Linked DNA regions of Drosophila melanogaster. The protein of the gene in region 1 interacts with the protein of each later gene in a pairwise test. Each region holds a gene or a part of one and is shown on either strand. Other genes may lie near its edges. The genes, in order: mfas and dcma.

What was found.
Region 2: the proteins of mfas (region 1) and dcma interact in a two-hybrid assay, tested with the Drosophila melanogaster proteins (one large-scale study listed by BioGRID).

What each region holds. Positions count from the first base shown.
Region 1 is NT_033777.3:11,985,481-11,998,305, reverse strand, and holds the start of mfas (midline fasciclin), read left to right. Parts: upstream 1-4,990; 5' UTR 4,991-5,057; exon of another isoform or gene 5,058-5,453; 5' UTR 5,454-5,493; coding exon 5,494-5,564; intron 5,565-6,162; coding exon 6,163-6,234; intron 6,235-8,303; exon of another isoform or gene 8,304-8,452; coding exon of another isoform or gene 8,453-8,463; intron 8,464-8,782; coding exon 8,783-9,096; intron 9,097-9,506; coding exon 9,507-9,648; intron 9,649-10,929; coding exon 10,930-11,121; intron 11,122-11,185; coding exon 11,186-11,471; intron 11,472-11,533; coding exon 11,534-12,002; intron 12,003-12,074; coding exon 12,075-12,757; intron 12,758-12,818; coding exon 12,819-12,825. Other genes in the region: Tk (tachykinin), read left to right, coding at 2,284-2,934, 3,114-3,342, 3,551-3,564.
Region 2 is NT_033779.5:4,689,157-4,701,886, forward strand, and holds the start of dcma (decima), read left to right. Parts: upstream 1-5,564; 5' UTR 5,565-5,835; intron 5,836-11,678; exon of another isoform or gene 11,679-11,835; coding exon of another isoform or gene 11,836-12,060; intron 12,061-12,120; coding exon of another isoform or gene 12,121-12,312; exon of another isoform or gene 12,313-12,329; intron 12,330-12,730. Other genes in the region: CG3251 (uncharacterized protein), read right to left, coding at 1-1,348, 1,402-1,444; Taf12L (TBP-associated factor 30kD subunit alpha-2), read right to left, coding at 11,836-12,060, 12,121-12,312.

The DNA.
Region 1 (12,825 bases):
ACACACACCCCGAGGCACACACACACACACACGCACGTTCTGGGACAGAGAGTGTCCTACATAGACAATTAGACAACAGACACGGCCAAGTTAACAGCTTATCCGCATTAAGGCAGCGGTGGGAGTTGAGTTTTCCTAGTGCTATTCCATTGTCCAACTGCCGCCTGTCAGCCCAATGTCCTGGCTTCCTCATGTCCTGCCAGGACGTGGCTTGACGAGCCGTTACCAGGTAGCTCGAGAACCGGAAGTTCGCCACATTTGCACACTGTTAATTTTGCAGCAGCAAACTTTGCTGGAATTAGTTGGCCGCAGTGCGCACGGTGGGATAAAATGGCAAATTTCGAGGTAAAAGAAAATTCTTGTCAAAAATAATTGTAGTTTAAAAGCGCTTTAATTAAAATGGGAGAATAATACAAACAATAAAATTTAAAAGTAGCAAGTAGTAATGACTTTCACTTTAATAATATCCTGGTTTTTTAAGCAAACTGCTCATGCCCACTGTTCGTTTAAAGTTCAGCCGACATGTTCTGATGCTTTGACATTTGAGAGCCTCTCCTCTAATCCCTAAAACTATATTTTTTATCCTTAAAAAAAAACATCAAACTTTGGGGCCTTTCAGCACTTTGGCTCCATTCCAACTCCAAGCAAACAGAGCCGTCGTAATCATAACAACGATGAGCCCTAAGTGCCTAACCCACCTGTTGATTGTGGCAAACTCGACATCAATTGAATTCAAATGCATTTCGCTAAGTTCAATTGAATTGCCTCTGCACTTTTCTGCTCGATGCTGCAATGTTTGCTTGTTTGCGGTTGTCGCCGCCGGTGGCAATCAATTGAATTACATGTTTGTTGTTTCCTGTGCGCATCGCATCGTTAGAGGTCGCCACAGTTTTTACCATCTATTGCTCCTGTTGCAGCTGCCACTTCGACACCATCCGCCCCCCCCCCCCCAACCTTCTTTCCCCGACGGGCTTAAGCCACCAGGCCAGGGGTTTATTTGCATGGCAATTTCACTTTACAAGGCGTGGCATAATCATGCGTGGCGTCAACTCGTTAGAGATATTCGCGGCATGGGATGTTGCACTTAAAAGTATAGGAATAAAATCTAGTTGTAAGAATGACACGATAAATTTATATTACAATTAAATTAAAATTAACTTAACCAATGGTTTTAATATTAAATATCTCAAAATTCATTGATTTATAAAATAACTGACTGCATCTAATATGTAAAATAAATACATGCATATACATATATCAATAAAAATCCTATAATCATATATCTACACAGCTGTAACCTTAAATCAAATTCATGGGATTTCAATTCCTCAGTGTACTTTGCCCCACTTCGTCCTTTGTGTTTGCATTTTGCATCATGAGTTGCAGCATCAGCCGACGTTGCACTTGCACTCGATTGCATCTCGACTAAAGGCCAGTACTCATGAGCATCCAAATGTATATGGATACTTCCGCAGATATTGGTGCCACTAAAAATAGGGAATTTCATTGGTTATGATCTTACATTTGCATAGAATTTAAGTATTATTTTTGTGTTTTTTAAGCCCGATACTAATTTAATATTTAGTATTATACATAGTTTGTATTATTATTTTCTCAAATACAATGTTGCATAAGTGTGTATGTTGGAAACCATTCTGTTTCCCACCAAGCTCCTTAACCTATTCACACCACTCCGCGAACCGTAGAACACGAGTACAAAAAGGTCAAGTAGACGCCGCCGCGGGGAATTTGCGAGTCTAAGTGCACTAAAGCAAGTATATGCGAATAGCAAAAAAAAATAAAAAAGGAAAATCAAAACAAACAAAGCAGGAAATGAAATGGAAAACATTTTTAAAGGGTTACACACTTCATACGCGTTTTCTTTATAATATCTGTAGTAATTTTTGTATTTCTGTAATTGCATATGTGAGGTAGAAAATATTACTAAGTATTTATAAACAAGCTAAATTCATTTAATTTATATAAAACAGCTGAGTAGAGTCAAATTAAATTGACATAAATAAAAATGTGGCAGAGTGATTATATTTAACCTCTTCTGTAGTTATAAGCCCTTTTTAATACCCTATGTAACTATTTTCCAGCTAAAAATGAAGATGTATCAACATTTAGTTGTGATAATATGTAATAAAATATCTAGATATTTATCTGACATTAACATTATTTCCTAATTACACATTGTAATAAATCATCGATTTTCTCCCCAATTTCGCTTTTCCAGCAGCGCATCGATTTCCACGCCCGCCTAAAAGCTCGCCACATCCAATGCGCCCTCTGAGCGGTTTGATAGCGCTGGCGCTGCTGCTGCTGCTCCTGCTGACGGCACCATCGAGTGCGGCGGACACGGAGACGGAGTCCTCCGGCAGCCCGCTGACGCCCGGCGCCGAAGAGCCGCGTCGGGTGGTAAAGCGGGCGCCCACGTCCAGCTTCATTGGGATGCGCGGCAAGAAGGACGAGGAGCACGACACCTCGGAGGGTAACTGGCTGGGATCGGGACCCGATCCGCTGGATTACGCCGACGAGGAGGCGGACAGCAGCTACGCGGAGAACGGGCGGCGACTGAAGAAGGCACCGCTGGCCTTTGTTGGCCTGCGTGGCAAGAAATTCATCCCAATCAACAACCGCCTGTCCGATGTCCTGCAGAGCCTGGAGGAGGAGCGCCTGCGGGATAGCCTGCTGCAGGACTTCTTCGATCGCGTGGCTGGGCGTGATGGCTCCGCGGTGGGCAAGAGAGCGCCCACCGGGTTCACGGGCATGCGAGGTAAGCGACCCGCCCTGCTGGCCGGGGACGATGACGCGGAGGCGGACGAGGCCACGGAGCTGCAACAAAAGCGGGCGCCGGTCAATTCCTTTGTGGGGATGCGCGGCAAGAAGGACGTCTCCCACCAGCACTACAAGCGTGCAGCTCTCTCCGATGTAAGTCGACTTACCTTGCAGTTAGTTGTTGGTGGCAAGTACAGTGGTTTCTCTTGATGCGCTTATTAAAACACTAAAACCCCATTGCAAATCAGAGTGTTAGTCTTTTTTTGAATAATACATAAAAGAAACCATTGAATTGCATATCTATACATATGTGAAGATCTAATCGACCCCAGTTCTGGCACACTTTTTTTAAAAAGTCCTATGACTTGAGAGGAAAACAGCAGCGCTTCGCCGACTTCAACAGCAAATTTGTGGCGGTGCGTGGCAAGAAGAGCGATCTGGAGGGCAACGGAGTCGGGATTGGTGACGATCATGAGCAAGCTCTGGTGCATCCATGGCTCTACCTGTGGGGAGAAAAGCGAGCGCCCAACGGATTCCTGGGAATGCGAGGCAAACGGCCAGGTACATATTCACAAATTCATTTAACCAAAATGTATTTGGTTAAAAAGCTGTTGTATTTCAAGCTTAAGGTGGCAACCTATTATTAAGGAAGCTGAATAAAGTTTTAAATTAATACATTTATTATTTATTGCTCGCCAATGGGGGGAAACCCAATTTTATACCCAATTAATTATAGATTTTGATTATTCTCTTCCTTTCATCGACACAGCACTTTTCGAGTAGGCGATGTTGAGCGATTTGATAGATCTTGATGGAAGTTCCTCTTAGAGCTACAAAACTAGGAAATGCGAAAGTAGATGGACACAGGGGACCGGGAGAGCAGATTTGGAAACAGAAAATGGATCACATGAGTGTTTTAAATAATCACTGGGCTGGAGATTATTTCAAACACGGACACACAAAAAACACACGGCTAAGAATTTGCTCTGTTTGTCGACACAAAATTTCAGCTTAATGTATAACGAGACTTGCGAATAATTTATTGGGAATTTATTTGAAATTGAATGAGATGCTTCGATGAGTGTGTGGATTCAATTGTACTATTTGCATATCTAAGTGTAAACTTTTAATCAAAATTATGATGAAAATTAAACTAGAAGAAGTTCAAATGCACAAGATAAACAGAAAAGTGGGAAAGTAATTATTTATTTAAAACAAATATATTTAAAACGAATATACTTAAAGATACATTTCAGTTGTGGTACATCTACGTATACAAAATATATATACACCTACATTAATAGCACAAATAAATATTGTAAATAATGAATAAATATTTATTTCAGAAACGGATGATTACGATTTTTCATGGTTTTTCAATAACAACATACTTTGCTTGACTTTGGTAATAAGTAAAAAACGGGCATCTAATATTGACTAAAATCAAAACAATGAGCAATCAAATATAAGAACACATTATAAAGTCTTCTAACAGTTCCAAGAAATTCAATTTCATCTACACATGTAGCTACAAGCTGACATCTTGTTTATACAAAACAATAAAAACCGATCGGAACAGTTTCAAAATATGAGGAGACTCCTAATAAGGCGGAACCGACCAGACACCACAGTGATTGATGGGTGTTAGAGGTTACGGGAATATCGGAAATTCCAAGTGCGCACTACACCTGGCTAGCAAATACAGGTAGGACATTGCCAGAAACGCTCTAGGTGCAGTTTAAACAGAAAATGATTCTAGGAAATTGAAAATACTCGAAATGAATAAGTAGTTTGAAATGCTCGCCAAGCCAAAGTCTGAAATGATATGAGTCCTATATTATAGGATATATTCTTCAGATTCTACACCGTTTTAGTTTGGGTTTTGTATCCCAAATTCTACAGTATTTTGAGTGAAATGTACTATGATTAATAAAAGTGCTTCGTTTCGCTCGCTTCTCTATGAAGTGTTAATAGCTGGCACTTTCACAATTTGTACGAACCTCCTGCCACCCGCACTATTTGCATATACATATGTAAATACACACATACATACATATATAGAGCTATTACCGATTTCACAGCGTCCCCAAAAGTTCTCTCTGTTCTCCCAAAGCTCCCATGATCACTACATGCGTTGATATCGCGGCAGAGGAATCGACGGCGACTGCGGCAGAGCAGCTTATAAATACCAGATGCTCGACGTTCTTGGGCAGTTAGTTTTAAACTGCGACTTGAAGCGGCAACATCGTCGGATCAAGCAACATATAACAACTTTCGTGAGTGCCACAAGTGCCCCTTTTTTACGATTAACTGCAGTAAAAGGAGCCAGAGACATTTGATAATTGAGTGTGTGCCAATTTTTGTAAAAACAAGACAATTGACAATAATTACAAGTGAGTGACAGGCGGTATATGTCGTCTATCCGTAGCATATTTACAATTAATGCGTGAAGACAGTGGAAAATTTTCTTCGTCGACCGTCGCTCTCACTCCCAAAATCAGTCACCTACATACGCGAGTGCAGCGCTGCGTGGAAAACCTGTATTTCTTCGGTTTCTCAGCTGTTTTTCCATCCATCGCGGTGAAATTTCTCGAATCCAACCAGCCATTCAGCCAGCTTCAGCCATTCCCTTGATTACAGCAACTTTCAGCTTGTCTCGTTCATTTACTTAGCTCCCAACCGAGGCTCCAGATTAAAATTGTGATACCAAACATGCTACGGCTGTGGGCCTGCCTGCTCCTCCTGGGATCAATCCAGATCCAGGCGGTTCCATTCTACGGCGAGTGAGTATCAATCCGACAAGTTTTTCGTGCTGTGTAGTAGCGTTCGTTTCATGCACATTTCACGTAGTTTGAGTTGTTTGCGTTGCGGGCTAAATGGTTAACATATGTACATCGACATCTTCTGATAAGGCATGAACTAAATGTTTTATGTTATCGGAACACAATTGAAATGCCAGGAATGCCTGGGACCCACAAAATTGAAATACTTCTCTAATTAAACATATACAATTTCATAGAATCATTGGAACAAAATTTTACCTAACAAGCGCATCCCAAATAACTAAAAACGGAAAAAAATTAAAAAAAAAAAAACACTTTGAAAGAAATACAAAATTAGATCTAAATTGAAACGTTTGATACCATCCATAACAATGTTTATAACAATATTAATGTAAGCCACGAGTTAAAAAACAAGTATTTTGCCATTATTGAAGTTTTACAATAACGCTTTCAAATATATTTTTGAAGACCAATTGGTAAAGTTTCCAAATAATCGTTAATATTAAGTGCTTAAGTCCCATAGAACTAACCCTAGTAGATTTTTCCCATCCGCCCGACCTTTTAAATCTGTCCCAATAAACGAAATGTTGAATTCCAGTTCAAGTTCTGAAGAGGTTGCCGAATTCGATGACTCCTCGGATTCCACACACGAGTCCTCAGATAACTCCAGGTGAACTATAAGTAAACGTAGTTAGCCCAGCTGTTGAGTCCCCAACATTTCCCAGTAGATTTGCTCATTTACAACTACTTAACAAAGCAAACATACCGACGAGGTTTACATGTTAAACAACTTAAAAATGCTTAAACAGTTTCAATATTTTTTTCACTCACGGGTTCCGCTGGGCCCACTGACACCACATAAAAGTTGGCTAATACCGGGTTCAGTGTTTTTTATGACATTTTCAAGCCCAACGAGGCACCGAGCCCTGTTTGTTCTTGGAGAAACTTTTCGCCCGCTAAACGAAACTGCAAATAAAGTTGACCGAAATGTTTATGGTAGCGAAGGCGCTGAAAGAGCGAAAAGTTCCCCCGGAAAGAAAGTCCAAAAGCCCGCCGAGTATTGACCTCAATTGATAAACCTTAAACTGAAATTGTTGAGTCGCAGAGATTGTCTGCCAATAAATCCGCATCGAACTGGGTTCTTTGCCGCCATTGGAAATGTGCAAAGGCCACGATCTGAGTCTTTGGCTTTTATTATTTTTTTCCCCCTTTTTTGCGAAAGATACTGCATCGCAAGAGAACAATGTGCAACCAAAGTGGGGCAACACCGCGGGACTTGGGCAACCAAGATCCACATCTTCTTCCACCGATCTTCTCCGTTCGCTCCACACTTGGCTGACTTTGCCACCTTTGGGTTCAAGCCGCCGCAGGGCTCATCTTTGGCACACAAATCTCGAACAGTTTTGGCCCTGAGAGCAATTGACATTTGACACGGCATTAAGTGGCATATTGTGGGTAATGGGTAATGCGCCGGCAAAAGAATGTCTCCGCAAACTCTATAATCTGCCCTCGAATTGGGTCGCCCACAATTTGGTTCCCCCTTTAACGCTCACAGAATGTTTTTTTTTATTCTGCCTGTCACGGCTGCGCTTAAATTAAATCAGGCAGCCATTTGGTTGGATCCATCTCTGCCCTCGACGTAAACATTTCCCTGGAAATTTCTGTGGCCAATGACTTTCGCTCTGGCTTCAAGCGAACAGAATTTAGTTTGTTTGCAAATTATATTCGATTCACAGATTGGATACGCAGTCTACAAATATTCCAAGTAGTCTTGAATACCATGATCACAAAACAAATACTTCACACATTCATTAATCTTTCACAAAGTACTTAGTCATTGAATTACTGCTAAATGGATATATTTAATATCTTATCAAACAACATACAGTTGATATTATATTTTTGCACAATTTTTAAGATGAAGAGTAATTATTCTAAGATTTCAAAAGTCATTCGCTCTATTGTAAGATTTTTTATTTCTTTATTCAAATCTGTTCATATGAATGTATACATTTTGAAATATTATTTGCATTCAATAATCGACGTACAGTAGTTAAAATAATGAAAAAGAAATAAAATTTTTGACTTATTTCCAAGTAATATAAAATATTTATGATAACGTTTTGAGTAAATATTCTTGCGAATAAATTGTGAATAAATTAAGTGTTCCTTTTTATCAAATATTTTGATGGTTTTTTGATTGATGGACACACAATTGATTTAAACTGAGGTGCATTCACTCGCTCTAGCAATATTATAGAAGTGATTTCCAGAGAATCTGACAAGGTAGAAAGAGAAAAAAAAAAATCAAACTGGCCAAGCCTCTATGTATTGTAATGTCGGCTTAAACCGCCTGTATCTGTAGCTCAGCCAAAGCCGCTTCGAGCCCTGTCGATCACGTCCCGCCTGGATGAGTCATCTTGGACGGAGGCAGATCTCCAACCAGAAGTGAATCGGATACACAGAAGTACCTCAAAGTCAGCAACCCAACAAATTGTTTACGTTTCGCCTTTTCGGGCAGTATTGTTTTATTATTTATTTCCAGCTAGTTTCGTTTCGTATATTTTTTTCATTTAGCACTTATTATGAGCTTTTTTTAATTAGCTCCCGCGAAGCGAATTTTAATGAGCCGCAGCGAAGAAAAAAAGATTTGAAGTTGGCTAACGCGTATGTATGTCTTCATAGAAAGTATCTGAGTCAGTTTACAGATTTCGAATGCATTGGGAGACGCAGAAAAAACCAAAATCCGTTGACATAAATCTCAGTTGATGGATGACAAGTGCAGGAACATTTCTCAAGTTTTGTTCGCCTTTTTCAGCGATTGTTTCGGCACTTAAAAAGTTATTTTCATTTGATTCTAAAAAGAGTTCCACTGACAGGCGCTTAGTATGCGGCTCAGGTAAATGCTGCGCAAAAAACCTAAACAATGAGCACGATCAGCATATATACTACATACAGATAGATACATATATTTAGTTTGGTGAGGATAGAGTTGAGCTTCTTTTTATGCGAGGTAACAATGGAGGCATATGAATTATTGGGTCCCGGTTCCGTTTCGATTCGTTCCGCTCACCAATGGAATTTGCATGAAGGGAACACACACAGACACACACACACACACACACATATGGGCACACAGTAGCCAGCTAATACTGTATACACTAACCACATCACTCTACACCACGTCCACTCCTACGCCCACTCCCACCGTTCTGCAGCTTTATGCCACATTTAACCCACCCATTGCCGGCGCATCGCAATCTGTTCGCGCCCCTGCCCTTCGCACCACTCGCACCGCTCGAGCCCCAAGATCCACTGCATGCCCAGGCCTCGCAGCGGATGGCGAGCGTCTGGAACGGACCCGCCCCGTTGGCGCCGCAACTCCACTCATCTCACCTGTTGCCCCTCTTCAGCAGCGGATACGACACCGAGTTCGTGCCACTGGAGCACCAGCAGCAGCCGCAGGGACGCCAGGAGACGGCGGCCACCGTTCCCGCTCAAACCCCCAGCGGTGTGGAGCAGAAGCCGTTCAGTAAGTGCTCTATATCTCTATAATATACATATATTTAGATATTCGTTTAAAATTTATTAAAATAGAAATCCCAAAACTCTTTTAATTATTTCTGTTGCAATTGGTTTCTAGTCCAAATCTGGAATAAAATCTGAATTTAAATCTGAAATTGAATCTTAGAAACGACCAATTTATAAACTACTTTGCAAAACAGCAAGAGGTAGCCATTCTTGATCAACTATGCTGATCGCTTAATTATAGTGATTTAACAATGCCATAAAAATTGCACTCGCAAAATTAGTATCTTGAAGAATATTATGTGCAAGCTTAATCTCAGCGTAATTTGAATTGTTACTAAAGAATATTTTAAGTGTCTTAAGCAATTGTTAAATTTTATAGTATGGTTTTAATTGCGTTTCCTTACTTCGCAGATGTGGACACCATCACCACGGATGTGAATTCCCCAAATCCGGCCATCTTCTTCCAGCAATCGTTCCCCTTCTTTGGCAATGAGTTCTTCAATTCGTTCGGAGGCTTTGGCTTTGGAGCTGCCCAGGAGCCCTGGTGGAAGGGGTAAGTGCCATCCATTAAGGGCATTTGCCCCCACTTGAATGCTAAAAAAAAAAAAAAAAGTCCCCCAGTTATGGTCACTAATTTGGCGTCTTTCCTAATCGCCGCACTCGAGTGATTCTGTGGCCAACTTCGCCGTTCTTGGCATTTGGCAATTAAGAGAGCACAATGTCAAGTTCATACGACCCATTAACTATATGATTGTATGGTATATATATTCTATAATTGTGTAAAGTTGGATGGGTTATCGCCATCATAGAGGCAATCGAGCATATCAATTAAATGGTAAATACCTACTTAAATAATTTTCCATCCAAGATTATTCGCAGCTGAGGCTGCTTAATAATTTTCCAGGGCTCGATTGCTGTTTTTTTTTTTAATTGCCCAACCAGATATGGCATTGTATATAGGGAAAAGTGAATGAATATATAGATATATAGTGTCTATATTGGATAAGTGCACAACTGCACGGTTTCTACAGCCGAGCTTGCACTTTTATAAATTGTGAAATCCACTTGTCGTCTTTTTTGCACTGTGCGATGAACTCGTTACTGCGCGGGCATAGTAAAATGAAAGTCACAGATGTGGCAAATTGATAAATTAGCTGCATTACAAACATATGTATGTATGTATGTATGCGACTGTGTATCTATGGTTCAGTGAGAAATTTCTAAAATCTACGCACACAATGAGTTCGCATTCAGTAGACTCCTCTCATCGCTGCCATAATTGAATTGATGGACTGGCAAAGCTGTTAAGCCAACACACATACGCATTTATATAAAAGTCAGTTTGTATAATATAACTATGCTTTCTATGTGCCGGACTCATTGTGCAAATCCATTGGGCAAACAATCGGTTAGCGAGTGCCGATCAACCGACTAAGTTGGATTGGATTCGGAGTTGTGGATATATAGGAATTTAGGGTTGAATCAAAATTATATACATATATGTATAGTGGTATATAGTGCTATATAGTGCATTGACATTTCGATTTGCATGTCTGTTATATGACCAATTCATTAGCAGGTTTGGCTATAATTTGTAGAGAACGTAAAGGGAGAATGATCATCATAGATTAAATATAGCAACAAGTTATTAGTAATTGCTCATTGAAGATAACTTATAAAACTAATGATTTGAATATATGCCTGAAATACACTATTTTTAAAGCTTATGTATTTGAGTCTCGAAAAACGATTGCCTTGAATTATATTTGTTCATTTCGCCAAACTATTACTACATCACATTGTTAACCAATAACCAATTTTTCGCTTTATTCAGACCCAATGTGTGCACCGAAAAGGAGGAAGACGAGACTGTGGCCAGTGAAACGGAGGCAGAAGAAACCGTGGACACCTTTGGCCAGGAACGTGATGGCGTTACCAACGTGGTGCGATCCCCACTCTTTGGCCAGTTCCAGTTCAGCGTTAACTCCTGCGCCGAGAAGCCCAACAAGCACGTCTGCACCAAGATGTAAGCAGATTACAGTAGGATTACCTAATCTCATCCAATTGATTGAACACTTTATCCCCTGCAGCGTGAATCAAAATGGCAAGAAGAAAACGCTGACGCTGACCCGCCAGTGCTGCTATGGATATGGACGCCCCAGAAACGCTGACTTCACAACGCCCTGCGAGAAGATCGACATCAAGGACGTGGAGGCCACGGCCAGTGACATGGGTGCCAAGCAGTTCCTGGAGAGTGCACGCACCGCCGGTGAGCTGGCCGATATGCTCGGAGCAGGCAGTGGCAAGAAGGTGACCCTCTTCGTGCCCAACGACGCCGCCTTCATGGAGTACCGTGGTCATCATCAGCAGGAGAATGTGAGCATGCCTTTGGTTACTAAAATTCATGTAAATAAATGAGAATTCTTTGCGTACAACAGAATGTGGAAGATGCCAAGGCCGAGGCTTCCAAGCCATCCATCTACAAACTGCACGCTGTTCTCGGCGAAGTTCAGCTGGAGGATGTGCCCAATGAGAAGCTTCTGCAGACGGAGCTGCCTGACCAGAAGATCCGCATCAACAGCTACCAGCTGCCTGCGGCTTTGGGCCTGGAACCCTACCGCTTTGCCGCCAACTGTGTGCCCATCGAGAAGCACGACAAGCTCTCGGAGCAGGCCCTTGTCCACACTCTGGGCGGAGTCCTGAAGCCGCTGACCAAGAACCTTATGGATATCATCAGGGAGCGTGCGGATATGTCCATTATGCGCACCGTTCTGGAGAAGACCAACCTGAGCGCCATGCTAGAGGATGACAAGCCAGTGACCATCTTTGTGCCCACCGATGCCGCCTTCGACAAGTTGGAACCTCATCTGCGTCGAGCCCTCAAGGAAGGTCGCGGTTGTGCCTCCAGTGAGTTGGTCTGGAAACTTATCCACAAGCAGCTAACTAACTAATATAATATGATTCCCATTTATCCGGTAGACATCCTGAAGAACCATTTGCTGGACCTCACCTTCTGCTCGCTGGCCACTGTTCCGGGTGCCAAGACGACGGCCTACAATCTACTGGGAGAACCCCTGCTCCTCAACCGAACCCACCGCGCTGCGAATCAGACTGGACCGACTCCCATCTACATCAATAACTTGGCCAAAATCATTGATGCCGATATCATGGGCACCAATGGTGTGCTGCACGTAATCGACACCATCCTGCCCACCGAATCGGCTCTGCCCATGACCTCGCTGATGTCGCAAAAGAACCTGACCATCTTCCAGCGATTGCTGGAGGCCTCCGGCTACGATGATCAGTTCGACGATCTGGACAACGTGACCATCTTTGCACCAACTGACAAGGCTCTGCAGAATACGGAATGGGCTCGCATGCTCAAGGAACAGCCGGAGCTGCTGAATCATAACTTGGATCTGCTGGAGTTCCTTAACTACCATGTGGTCAAGCCCATGATCAAGACCTGTGACCTGTCGGAGAAGTCCCTGCCCACGGTTGCTGGATCTAGTGTGCGTCTGAACCTGTACTCCACCCATGCTCTCTTCTCGGACGTGATGAACCGGGCAACGGTAAACTGTGCCCGTTTGGTGCACTTCGATGACGAGAGCTGCGGATCCGTTCTCCACCAGGTGGATCGTGCCTTGGCGCCTCCCAAGAATGTGAGTTCTACGAGGTTATCACGGAATTTAAAGCTTATGCTTATTTGTAAATATTCCACAGAACATGC
Region 2 (12,730 bases), on another chromosome or scaffold:
ATGACCGACGGCGGACCAACTCGTGGTTGTTGGACGAAAACGAACGATCCTGTCTGATGTATCATCAAAGGATTAGGCATCAACGGCCGGGTGGGTTCCATCCATCTAGAGGGCCCGAAAACAGGTGGCTGCTGTGCTGTTACGTTAACCGGACGAGGATCGGCCACCGGTGGTGGTGGCATCGAGGGAGCCGTACCAGGCATCGGGTCAGGGACGAATCCTTGCTGATCACCTTGTACCGACTGTCTCCCCATTTGGCTATTGTGGAGACGTTGGGGCCGCTTGCGAGCAAAGTCCCAGGCCTTGAATTCATCTGGTGGCAGTGGATGTAGATTATCGGAGGGCACATCAACCAGTTTTCCCTGCTCCTCGATAAACACTTTACAAACGGACTTCTTCTTATCGATCGATTGGATGTAACAAGCGCTGAGCAGATCGCGTCTATTGGTATCCAACTGCACCTGGCACTTAGCTCCCACCTTGAAGTTATAGTCGCCTATGTAAATACCAAATTCATACGCTTCACGACGAGCTTCAATCGCGCTAGTCAGCTCCACGTTACGATACCTACAGGGATCCATTGACTTGGCTACCAAATAGGAGAAGGGAATGTTGTTCTCCTCCAGAAGGATCCGCATGCAGGAAAAGTCGGCAAACTGTCCGCCCATTGCTAGCCTGCGATTATGAAACGGGCACATCTGGGAGTTTTCAAGCAAGCAAATGGTGCTCTCAGGGCGATCCAGCTTGAAGCTTCGTCCGTTGCGGCACAGCAAACGGATGGCGCGGCCGCGCGAGTCGAACTCATATTCAGTGCCCATTTTGAAGGTATCTGGATACAGCATCCATTCCACAGCGAGATCAACATCTGGCAGGCGGAACAGGTGCTTGTAAAGCATCTTGAAGGACACAGACTGGCAAACGGCGGCCATATCGACGTCCTGCATAGTCAGCACGGTTTCAAAATGCCCCATGCTGTTCATAAAGATACGTAGGATCTCCTTGTAGTCCTTGTTGTAGGTGACCATCCGGCCCATATCGAAGGGTTCGTAGATGATGACATTGCGGCGGTACAGGTGGCACATGGCACCCAGTTCCAGTATGGTGCCCGCCGTCTTGGTCTTGCCCAAATGCCACAAGTACTCGTCGAAGTCTCCACTCACAAATCGCCGGAAGGTCTTCCATTTCGTGAACATATAGCGAACGCACTCCATCCTCACTTCGTAATGAAGCATCTGGGTGTCGTACACCTGCTCAGCGACCACTCGAAACAGACTCGAGGCATCCCCTAGCATATGCTTCCGAAAGAGTTGACGTCGCTCCAGGAACCGATCTATTGGATCTCTTGCCTCTGTGGGAAGACTTGGTTATGGTAATTGTGTAAGATGCAAATCCCTGACCTACTTCTAACTTCAGTGGAAGCCAAGCGCTGCAATACTTCGGACATTATTGTTGGGTAAAATATTTTAGTACTGGGTACTTAAATAAAAGTTAAATCAAGTCGCGACTAATAGGAAAAAGTTCAAGGAAAGCCACGAGTTTCCTGCGTCGTTGCCAGATGTTGGAATTCTGCACTTCCATTATACGCGTTAAAAGTGGAACAGTGGAAATGAACACGAAATTTGCCTTCAATACCTGTTCTCCTTAAGCTCCTGTGTGAAAGCGTTATTATGAAATGCAAAATTGTAGCTATGTGGCAACACCGTCGAAGGGAAGCACGTGAGAAACTTATTAGCCAAATAATCAAAAATCAAAAGGATTATTGGTCACATTGCTGTCCTCATGAAAGAGCTTGGCAACCTTACCACTTAAATTTTAAATTTCGATTCTGAACATAGTTAAATTGTATTTGTGAATCTATGTTAAATTGCATAAACTTTATAATGTGGTACATATCTTAGCATTGATTTATTATGCTTTCGAGTGGAGCTATAAAACATGAAGAAAATAATAGAGCACATAAATAACTGCATAAACATTTAGAGGCAAACGGCTCAAAAATGCAGCAATGGCATTCAATAAATTCGAAAGCATTTGACACATCAGCAGGTTGGTAATTAATTGATAGACAGAAATAATCGAGTGAATTATGTTCGTATAATTCGATTTCAACACGTGTCGCCATCAATTTCTATCGAAACAGCTACCATGTGCGATGCCCCACAATTAACTAAGCGCTTTTCCATTACTTGGCAATCATGGATCATTCATGGGATGGATTAATTCCGCCAACCGAGCCACTTCATCATCAACACAAATTTCTAGAGAAGTGAGTGTAAGACTGACTCGATAATGAAGTGTACGGAAATAGACAAAGATTTAGGGGTTTCTTCCGCTCCCCATCGGGATATTGACTTGCTGATTATTTTTATTTGGCCAGGCAGAGCGCTTCAATTGAGACATAAAACTATGCCAACACACGAGCATAAACATTTATACACACGATTAGGAGTGCTGTTTGTTTTTATGTTTGGTTTAGCGCTTCCGTTTGTGGCCACCAAGAAATGCCAGCACACACTGCGTATACGCATTAAATGGCCCAGAATGAGATACAAACAAACGGACAGTGGGAGAGAAAAAACAAAAGCAAAAATTGGGGAAACGAAGGGAGCCGAAGCCCAAACATTTGGCGCGATTAAAGTGTGCACTTCTAGTTGTATAAAACATGGCCCATAAATCAATGAAAAACTAATCTGAAAATCAAAAGGAAAACACTGGGGGATTTGTTTTGTGCGAAATGAATTTGGCTGGCCAATAAAACGCACGTGAGAACCCATACTGCACCGAAAAGTATTTTTATCCTTTTGTTGAACTTGTTAAAATTCACTAAAAATGCAAATCAATTAAATTAAAGCAACAACTTTATTTTTTCAACTCCGTACCATTTGGGAAATACAATTTATGCAAATGCAACAGCAGTAGCTGTAGTAGACACAAAAAAAAATAAAATTCATGACAAGCCGCAAGCTTAAATGCTCATTAGTGTTCCGAAGCGAGAAAAAAACCAAATAAAATAAAATGAAACAAAGTAGAAGCCCCGAAACTAAAATCAAGAGGGAGCGCAGTGGAGCGTATTTTTGTCGCCTGCATCGCATTTACATTTTCAAATCCAACTGTACTGTATACTTGTGAGTTAGTACATAAGGACAAACGTCTCCGCCATATAAATGCAAAGCTCTTCGAGAACCGGATGGTCTTAAGTTACCGAATTGCAGGCAATTAATTGGGACTTACGGCCGAAATCCAAGGCTAACTTTGACTTTGGCTGAAACAGAAAGATTTCGTTGGCTGCATTGTTATGCGCTCTTGCGTGAATTGATCCCCTTTTAATGATGCACTCCAGTGGCGAAAATAATTTGCTTGTGACAGCCTTTGAGCCTTCTGCTAATGCTTTGTTTTAAATCATTGTTATTTCAGGCGAGTAAGCCCTGCTACTAGCTTCTGTGCTTTTCTCCTTTAAATGCTAATGCCATTGATTTCGGCACACAAATGCAATTCAGTTGCTATGCACGAAACATGTTAAGCATACGCAGCGTTGCCCCGGCAAAAGTTTGTGCATGCAAATTTGACGATAAACTTGAACTAATTAAAAAGTTGCGCTAAAAAGTTGCATTAAGCCAGAGACCGCAAAGGTTGTGCACTATTTTTCCGCCAGAATGTTTTCTCATCTCGTTGGCTGCGTGGCGGGTGTGTTGACAAATTGACATATTGTGGCTACAGAAAGTTGCAGTTGTAAGTCGTTGCCATTTCTCTTGCAACATGTGGCACAGCGGGAGGTGTAATACTTGCGGCTAATTTCGAGTTTGTTGCTCTAAGCCCGAAGCATTTCGTATCTGGCTTCCTGGCCCTATGCTCAGCTCACACAAAACTGATGGCCACAGGATAAAACGGGGGCCCAAACAAAACCGCACACAAGCTACCAGCGGTTTACTTGCCCCTCAGCAATTGCTGTTCGAAAAAAAGTGGCACTGGATAAAAAGCATGTTGAACATTCTGTTCTGGCCAAAAACTGCGGGAGCTGCAGTTCAAGAAATACAGCCACTACTTGACTGGAGTTCAGTTAAAGCACACTTCGTGTTTACTATCAATAACTTATTTTATTTACTTTTAAAGTGCTTCTGCACACGTACGTTGGCTTAATCTTTATTTGTGGCTTATTTGCCTGGCTAGCGTGAGCTTTACATTGGCTTAGTTTAAACCTGCTTACCTTGTTATGTGATAAATCTTTTTTGCCAAAACTTTATCTTTACCGGTTTAAATGATAAAGAAGAAATGTTATGTAAAATGGAAAAAAAATATACAATATTTATTAATTAAGAGAATGAAATATTTCATAATTTTTATAAACTTTAATATATAAAACCGATATAAATTTTCAGTGATAGCAGCCACATATCGGGTATCACAGACTCGGGACTCGTTGGAGCATTTATTTTTTATAATTCACTTGAGCCTTGTTAAGACCGCTGGTAGAGCATGGCTAGCATGTGTGTGTTTATGGGCCACCACCTCATCATCAACTCGTGTCCGTTTCCGTGCCCCACACTTCTCGCACCACTTGCAACCACTTGAATTTGCTGCGGTTGTTGCTGCTGTTCGTATTTGCCATGCCATTTGCTGGAGAAATTTTTCTTGATTGCCTCGCCCCCAGCAGTTTGCTTGTTTTTCGCTTATGCGTCGTCATCTTTCCACATCCTTTTACCATTTTCCACGGGTTTTCCCTTTTCCGTATTTATTTTTTACTCTGCTTTTTGTTCTCCTGGCAGACAGTGATTTTGACATTTCACGCGCATTTGTTTGTTATGCTTCTCTGGCCAGCAGCATTGACAGCGCGGGAAAGGTCAACATTTCCCTTTATTTTTTTTTTTTTTGCATAAGTGCGTAAGGCCATGTATTCATAGAAATCGTAGTGGGCCATAATAAAAATAAGGACTGTGGTAGTGGCACGCAGGCTCATTAACATTTGCGAGGCACGTGGCGGGAATGACGCTAACTCAGTTGCTCCCCAGCGTCGCATTCGGCTTAGCCAAATTGATTTTCCGTCCTGCCAACAAAACAATCTGGCACAGCGAGAGAAAAACATAACAATATCAGCATCAGTCACATAACCATTGCCAGTTTTGCATAGCCTTTTCTGTTCATAAGCCAAGGGTTTTATGATCACCAGTTATCCGAATTTCGGCCAATTCGATTGCTCATTTTTATGTGGAAAATATTTATGAATCGATACGTTTATAAAATATAAAGCACATTTATAAATGCAATATCTTTATCTGAGGAACGGAGTCTTTTCTTTTCCGTTTCTAACTCATAAAAACTTAGGGCTTACTTTTTGCAAGGAATACATATTTATTTATGCACAGAATTTTTCTCTGTATTCCCAAAAGGGGAAATAAACATCAGACCAACACAGAATTCCACTCAAAACAATTATGAATGAATGGCCAGAAGAGCGCTCAAACCAGTTAACAGAGCAGCTGTTGCTGTCGAGTCTATGTTAACGCTTTCACTTGGCCAACAGCCGCAGCTTCTGGCAAGTATTCTGGCTTTTAGTCCCACAACAGACGTCGAGGCGAGAACACGCGGCCCAAAAGACGTGCGCATGTCAAGTTGCGAGCTGCGTTTGGTTTTCGATTCGAGCCACATGGCGTATACGCGATACGGTCTGTGCCACTGCCTGCATTGAGTACTGAGTCAATAATGGTCGGTGGTCAGTGCTGCGGCTTTAGTGCGTGCTGAGCTGAGTAGCAGATAATGTGTCAATAATTGAACTGGACAATCGGCATTGCTCGATCCAGTATGTGAATAGCCGACACTCAACTGGAAAGGAACTTCGATGTAAGCATAAATAGCACCCAGAAACTTTAAGTGTTGGTGTAGTAAAAGTGTGAACTTAAAGCATGTACCACTTTAACATGTCTGAAACATGCGTAGGAAACACAAGTTAACAATATTTTCTGCTTTCGACTAAGATAAAGAATTAGTCTTGTTGTTTAACACCAAAATCTGCTTTTATTTAAGAAAAAAAAACGACATCAGTCAAAGAGACAATAATTAAATTTCGAGACACAAAGGCCCCTTATTTCACTTAACCCAATCAATTAGATCAAATAAAATATCAATACAAAATAGATTAAAAGAGGGCGCAGCACCGAAGCAAGTCGAATAAATAAATGCAAATAAAATAAGTTCAAATCGGATCAGCAGAGTGACGTATTTAAATTTCACCAGGGGCAAATCGAGCCGCCACGTAGTTCGACATTCGAGCCGTCATAAGCCGGAATTCGGAGGGGATTGCATTAGGGAAGTTCTTACTTTCTGGTGCCGCTCGAATTTCCCCAGGGCACTTGGGATGCACGTGAGCTCTGTGCCGATGGATTTTCCATTCCGCATTCGCCCCGTTTTCCCGCTCCGATACACATTTTTTTGCGACGTTTGTCAACACCATTTGGCCTCTATTTGATTTGCATATTGCTACCTGTCTGGTTTTCCGAGAAGCCTGTGAACGTGCGTGAAAAGTAAACAGGGGATAGGATGGGCGAAACAAAAGGGACGGCAAACGTGATAAAATAGGTGGAAAAATAGCGGATAAAAAATGAAAACATTTGCCGGAAAACAAAGAAAATTATCTGACCAGATGCCCGGGCTGTCCGTTCTCTCTTCCCCGGGGGAAGAGTAAAGTTGTAATAAAAAATAAAAATAAAACCCGGGGGTCGCCAGTGACAAGTGACAGGTTGCTTGTTTGCCGGGCCGAATAATGTGGTCAGGTCCGTCTGATATGGCCGCCTAATTTGGGAGACGCTTTTATTGTTTGCCCACGGACATGGCGTCATTATCTGCTGGCATTTTTGTGCGCTCCCCATTTGTTTACACGCACTTTTAACGTGTTTATTCGGCCACAACGCAAACTAATTGAAACACACCGGGCGTATACTTATTGTAATGCCCGTGGGCGTGTCACGTTCCACGTGCAATCAGTGGCCGCCTTGAAATCCACTCGTCTGCAATTGCAGTGCACGCTGCACCCTATCACGCCCCCCATTTGCTCTTTGAGGCTTTCACTCGCAGGACCCACTGTCATTTGGCCCTCAATGCCAGCAGCTGAAAGCTGAAACAACAGCTCACTGCTTCCACTATCCGTAGTTCTCGCCCTCGTCCTCATCCTCGTCCTCATCCTCGTCCTCATCCTCGTCCTCGTCATCATCATCATCGCCATCCGCCGTAGTCGCGGGTACGACATATTCGCTCAGCGGTTCACGCCGAGGTTGAGGTTGAGCCGAGCCAAGTGAGTAAGTGAGTGAGTGAGTGCCAGGAGCGGCAACTTGTTTACCTGCCTGTGTTTTAATGAAATGCAAATGCAAACACAGCCGTGAAGCACCATGGGCTCCATAGGCTCAAAGTGGGCCAAAAATAGGTGAAGGATTAACAGCTAGCGGAATCCATTACCGACTCTGTATTTTTGATATTTTATTAACACCTACACAAAATTACATTGAAAACAATTTCTTTTAGAGACCACAATTCAAAAATAAGTATAAACGCAACGAGATAAGCTTGAATATTTAAAAGCAAAGGCAATTCATTATTAAATAGTTTTGAGTTTTATTTGCATACAACCTTGCGGATTTTCATTTAAGTTAAAAACACAGAGCACACACATCAATTTAAGTGGCGGATGTTGTGATTGGTTAGCTGTATAAATTTGAAACAGCAGTGTTTGTTTTCATAAGCCCGCTCGATGGCTTCGCAAGATTGATTGCATCCAGAGAATAGATCGAAATAGACCTCCGAATGTGAACGTAAACACGCCACAGTGCCCACCTGTATCCGCCAGGTAATTTTTCCTGGCCCTCTGCAATGGCACTTAGCGGTAATGGGGTTACTGCCAAGGAGCCGCACTCGCTTGAGAATGTCCCTGATTTTGTACGCAAACACTTCAATTTCCGTGACAGATGACAATTTGCCACAATTGCACATTGCAGTGCAATTAGATTTAGTAAATTTTTAACTCCCATTTGGCCGGCATTAGATTCGTATGTAACACAATTTCATTCATGCCAGTTGGTATTGGCCATCTTGTCCTGCATTCGCATAAATAAATTGGCAAAAGATTCCTTTACGGCCAAGTGGGATGATCTTTAGCCAGCAGCTGGGTCTTAAGTTCACATTGGCACCGGGGTCGTAAAAGCGGATCTAAGCGCCATTTCAAAATTGCCTGGGATTGACCGCCATCGCGCTGGATTTTGACTTAAAGTGCCATTCGGATATGCATTAAATTTATGGCAATACATTAAACTAAATACTCCTCATCGAAGCTATCAAAGGTGCCGCAGCGGAAATTGAACGTGACAAACTTATGAAAAGCGCTAAAACATGTTGGCCTAAGCGGCTTTTTATGACAGATACTCAATTTCCTAATGGCACCGGTGGACGCAACCGAGGTTGGTAAAAAAAGCAACCAGATTTGTATCTAAATATTGGCATGCCATGCTCGACAAGTTTAAAGTTTTAATTAAACAAGTACGACGAGGCTAATTACTGCATTATGATAAACAAAACAGAAAGAGCACTTTAGACTTTCAGCTAACTTTGTAATAATGTCCAGGATATTAAGCTAGAGATAAATATTATTGTGCACTTAAAGTTAAATACACATTAAAGTTACTTGCGCATTGAGTTTTAAGCCCAAGTCAAGTCAAACCGTCAAGGATAACGTCAAATACTTGTGTCCTTAAGCCGAACTGGGAGAGTTCGAAACTTTTCCAATTCACTTAGTTCATTAACTTGATTCATCGGCAAGTGAGTTGCCCGAACTCCACAAATGGTAATCAACTGGCATTGATTGCTCATTTTTAGCAGGTTCTGGTCCTGTGCCAAAAACCCGGATCTCGCTTAAAGCTTTGGATTGCAATCCAGCTAACCCATTGACCTTGGCCGGAAACCAGAGAGGATTATTTTTTTTTTTTCGGTCTGGCCCGGCGTCAACTCTTTGGTAACATATCACTCAACTCAAGTTTTTGCCCTGGCCCCAAAGTTGCCATGAATAACTTGCGAATTTCTTTGAAAATGACTCGCTCAAAGGCGGAAGTTTCCGCTCTCCTCGCGTTTGACATGCAGGGGCGGTCGTCACTTGAATTTAATTAAAAAAGAATTTGTGTTCTAAACTTTTGAGCTGCAAAGGCTGTTTGCTGCATTTACTTACCCATTAAGAGGGCTCAATCCAGTCGGGCGACAGTCAGGCGACCCGAGCTTAATCATAATGTGCTTACAAATACCCAAATACCGCCTTTGATTTATGCTGATAACTCAATTTGGATGGCGTCTATTTTATTCTGACGCCTGGCTACATTTTCGTTAATCTATTACGGCCAGCGGCGACCGATATCACTTTAATTCAATTTATATCTACCAACAACATCATCCGCAACACCATCGAGAATTCGTATTTATTTCATGCGCACGATTTCGAAAAACCAAAAACGAATCCGAAACCAAACCGTCAACAGCCCATGGGCCATGGGATGTCGGGACAAAGTCACTTAGCTGCTTATCTCCACGGAACTAAGCCAGATCGCCCTCAAATGGAGTGGGCGTGGTACATTGTGTCTGCTTTTACTCATTTTATCCGTACGCGAGCGTCACGGATTGGGGAATACTCGTATGTACGAATAATATGCACGACAAATTCATTATAATATCGCCCAAACGAATTCGTCGACGGCTTGAATTTTCCTGCGTGCGTGCCAAGACATACGGCAAACGAATTTCGCCCAGAAGTGCGTTGGTATTGCTGGCCCACACACAGATTCTCACACACACACACAAACACTCGCTGAACCAATATCAAATCAGTTTAAATGCGCCCCAATGTGTCGTTCTTGGATTATGATTGCGAACGTTTGCGGCTGCCCCGAGGGCGGTTACAAATGTAATGAAAAGTAATTTCTATTTCTGGCCACAACCAAATGGGATTTTTACAAAAGCGGTGGTACTGCGGTCCTTAATTTACCATAAATAGATATATATATAAATTTTTATAAACTCTTCACTTAGCATTAAAATGATTTTAACCATAAATTATTTCAATTTTCGAATCACATTAGTTAAATATTGAAATATTGATAGCGGATTGATCATTTGTTTTAGGTCAGCTGTACTCAATTATATATTTAATCTTCATCCAATCCATTTGCAGCTGGTAATGATTTATTTAAGTTAATTTAAACAAACTGCATAAATTGCTCGTCCAGCAATGGGAAAAATAAAATAAAAACGCAACTGATTAAAGAGTTTTGGTGTTTTTTGGTCTTAAACAAATCAGATATTGATTAAATATTGGGAAACGCTACAATCTCTATTAAATTAGTGTAAAAAAAATATTACATCTCAGAATTCGCTTAAAAACAACGAAATGCAGCTACTGCAAATGCAAAACATTCAGCGACATAGAATGAAATCCTTTGGGTTTTCTTTAAATAAGTACAGATCATCTTCTGAATACAAAACCACAAGTTTGCTTAAGAGTCAGAGAGAGAAGCTCCAGAATTATGCCATTTTCCGCTATACCCATGGCCCGCGAAGAAGTATTCTTTATTCTTGAGGCAGCACCAAATAAAAAAAAAATATGAGAAAAAATCGCTCTGAAATTTCCGCCTCGGTCTTATCCTTTATTTTGAGCAAAGGACCTGAAAAGGAACCCAGTGCCCGTTCATGTGTGTAAATGGGAGCATGTGAGTGTTTTTCAGCCACTGTGTGAGTGTGTGGCATTATGCGCCCTGGCATTTTTATGGCACTTTAACTTTATGTTGAGTAATTCCCGGCTGAAGGGCGAGAGTCAAGTCCTCGGGAAAGTGTGGCCGAGACCATGATGACCGCTTTGCAGGGGCTATTGAATGTGAGTCCGGCTCTTGACAGCGGCCATTGAATTTATTAATTGCTTAATCATGATGATCCGGTTTGCAATTTATCACCAGGCGTGCACCTTTTCTCATTGATACCTCAATGGGTATTCACAATTATGTTCAATAAAATTCTTTCGTCAGCTAACAAATTTGTATTAAACACGAGTTTTGTGTATTCTTTAAATTCACGATGAAACCATATTTTGGCAAAACACGTTTTTCAGTCTAAAAGGAGGCCTTTTTTTTATCATAAAACTTAAAATAATTGTCCAAATATGGAATGCCATACCTCGTTGAGCTTGTATTTTATCCCCAAATCGATTGGCATTCAAACTTGGCAATTTTAATTTTTTGCCAATTTTTGCAAAATTTGATGATGGTATAAAAAATGCAAAAACTGACCCAAAAATAAAATTTTTTTTATTGACCAAAAAGTAATAGCAATTGTTGCTATTGGTAATTAGGTGCAGAAAACAGTTATTCCTGTACTTATCTGACTATTTTTAGGCGAGTTGTGAAGAAAATACCACTCTTAAATATTGCGTTTTTGCCAAAAGAGACCTTTTTGATTTTTCGCCCAAATATATTCAGTTTTTTCATCATAAATCTTAAAACAATTGTCCAAATATGGAATGCCATACCTCGTTTAGCTTGTATTTTATCCCCAAATCAATTGGCATTCCAATTTGGAAATTTTAATTTTTTGCCAATTTTTGCAAATTTTGATGATGGTACCCCTTATAAAAAATGCAAAACTGACCCAAAAATAAAATTTTTTTTATTGACCAAAAAGTAATTGCACTGGTTAACATTGGTAATTAGGTGCAGAAAACAATTATTCTTGTTGCCTTTCTGACAGTTTTAAACCAAGTTATTCATACATTTTATTCATTCCACAATTTTCAAATTCTACATTATTTTTCCCTTTATTGGACATTTATTCAATTGGGAACTCCATGTTGAACTCCCGCTTGAGGATGAACTTCAGGTCCAGCACGCTAACGTCGCTCTTTCGATACTTGGCCAACTTAACTATGCGCATGGATATGTCGTTAACAAAGGCATCGGCTATTCTGGCCATCATATCGCAACCTTGATCGTCCAGCGATGAATTTGCATCGATTTTCTGCACAAATTGCAGCATGTTGGTCTTGGAGATAATCTGATAGGGGGAAAAGTACGGATCGATTAATGCGTCCTAATTGGGGAAGTCGTTACGTACATCGTAGCTTCCGCCAGGGACAGACTGGCTCTCAATTACGCTAGCTGGCTCCTTCTCCACGGAGCTGGTGTCTATGCTGGTGTCACTGGAGCGGCTCGAGGATCTGGTCGAAGAGTGGCTCTCGTTATCCGACGATTTATCGCTGTCATCGAAATTGAGGGCAAAGGACCAAGGTTCCATGTTACTATCCATGATTCAATTAATTTAATGTCCTTTCCCGTTAATGCCACATGCACTAGGTAAGAAAGTGGCTTGAACTGGTTGGAAATTATAGGAACATAAGGTGTGAGCTAATGCATACTTTTCGGGTCCTGTGTCTTTCTTCAAAAAGCAAAAAGTTTTTTCTTGGTGTCGTGGGACATTACACTTTCTCTCAATTTTTTACCCGGCAATAGTTTGGATCGGGAAAACCCAGCTGGGCTTTGCAGCCTCAACTCTTCGCCCTTGGCCTGCCATAAATAACCAGTTTAAGTCGCAAGCTCTGCAGCTGAAAACGATTTCCATTGTTGCCGCAGCGTTTACCCTTTCCGCTGCGGCTTTTCCTTCACGGTTTTTCCGCCGTCTTCTGCTTTTGATTTATGTTCCGACTGGGCTGTGCGCTTTTCACTTC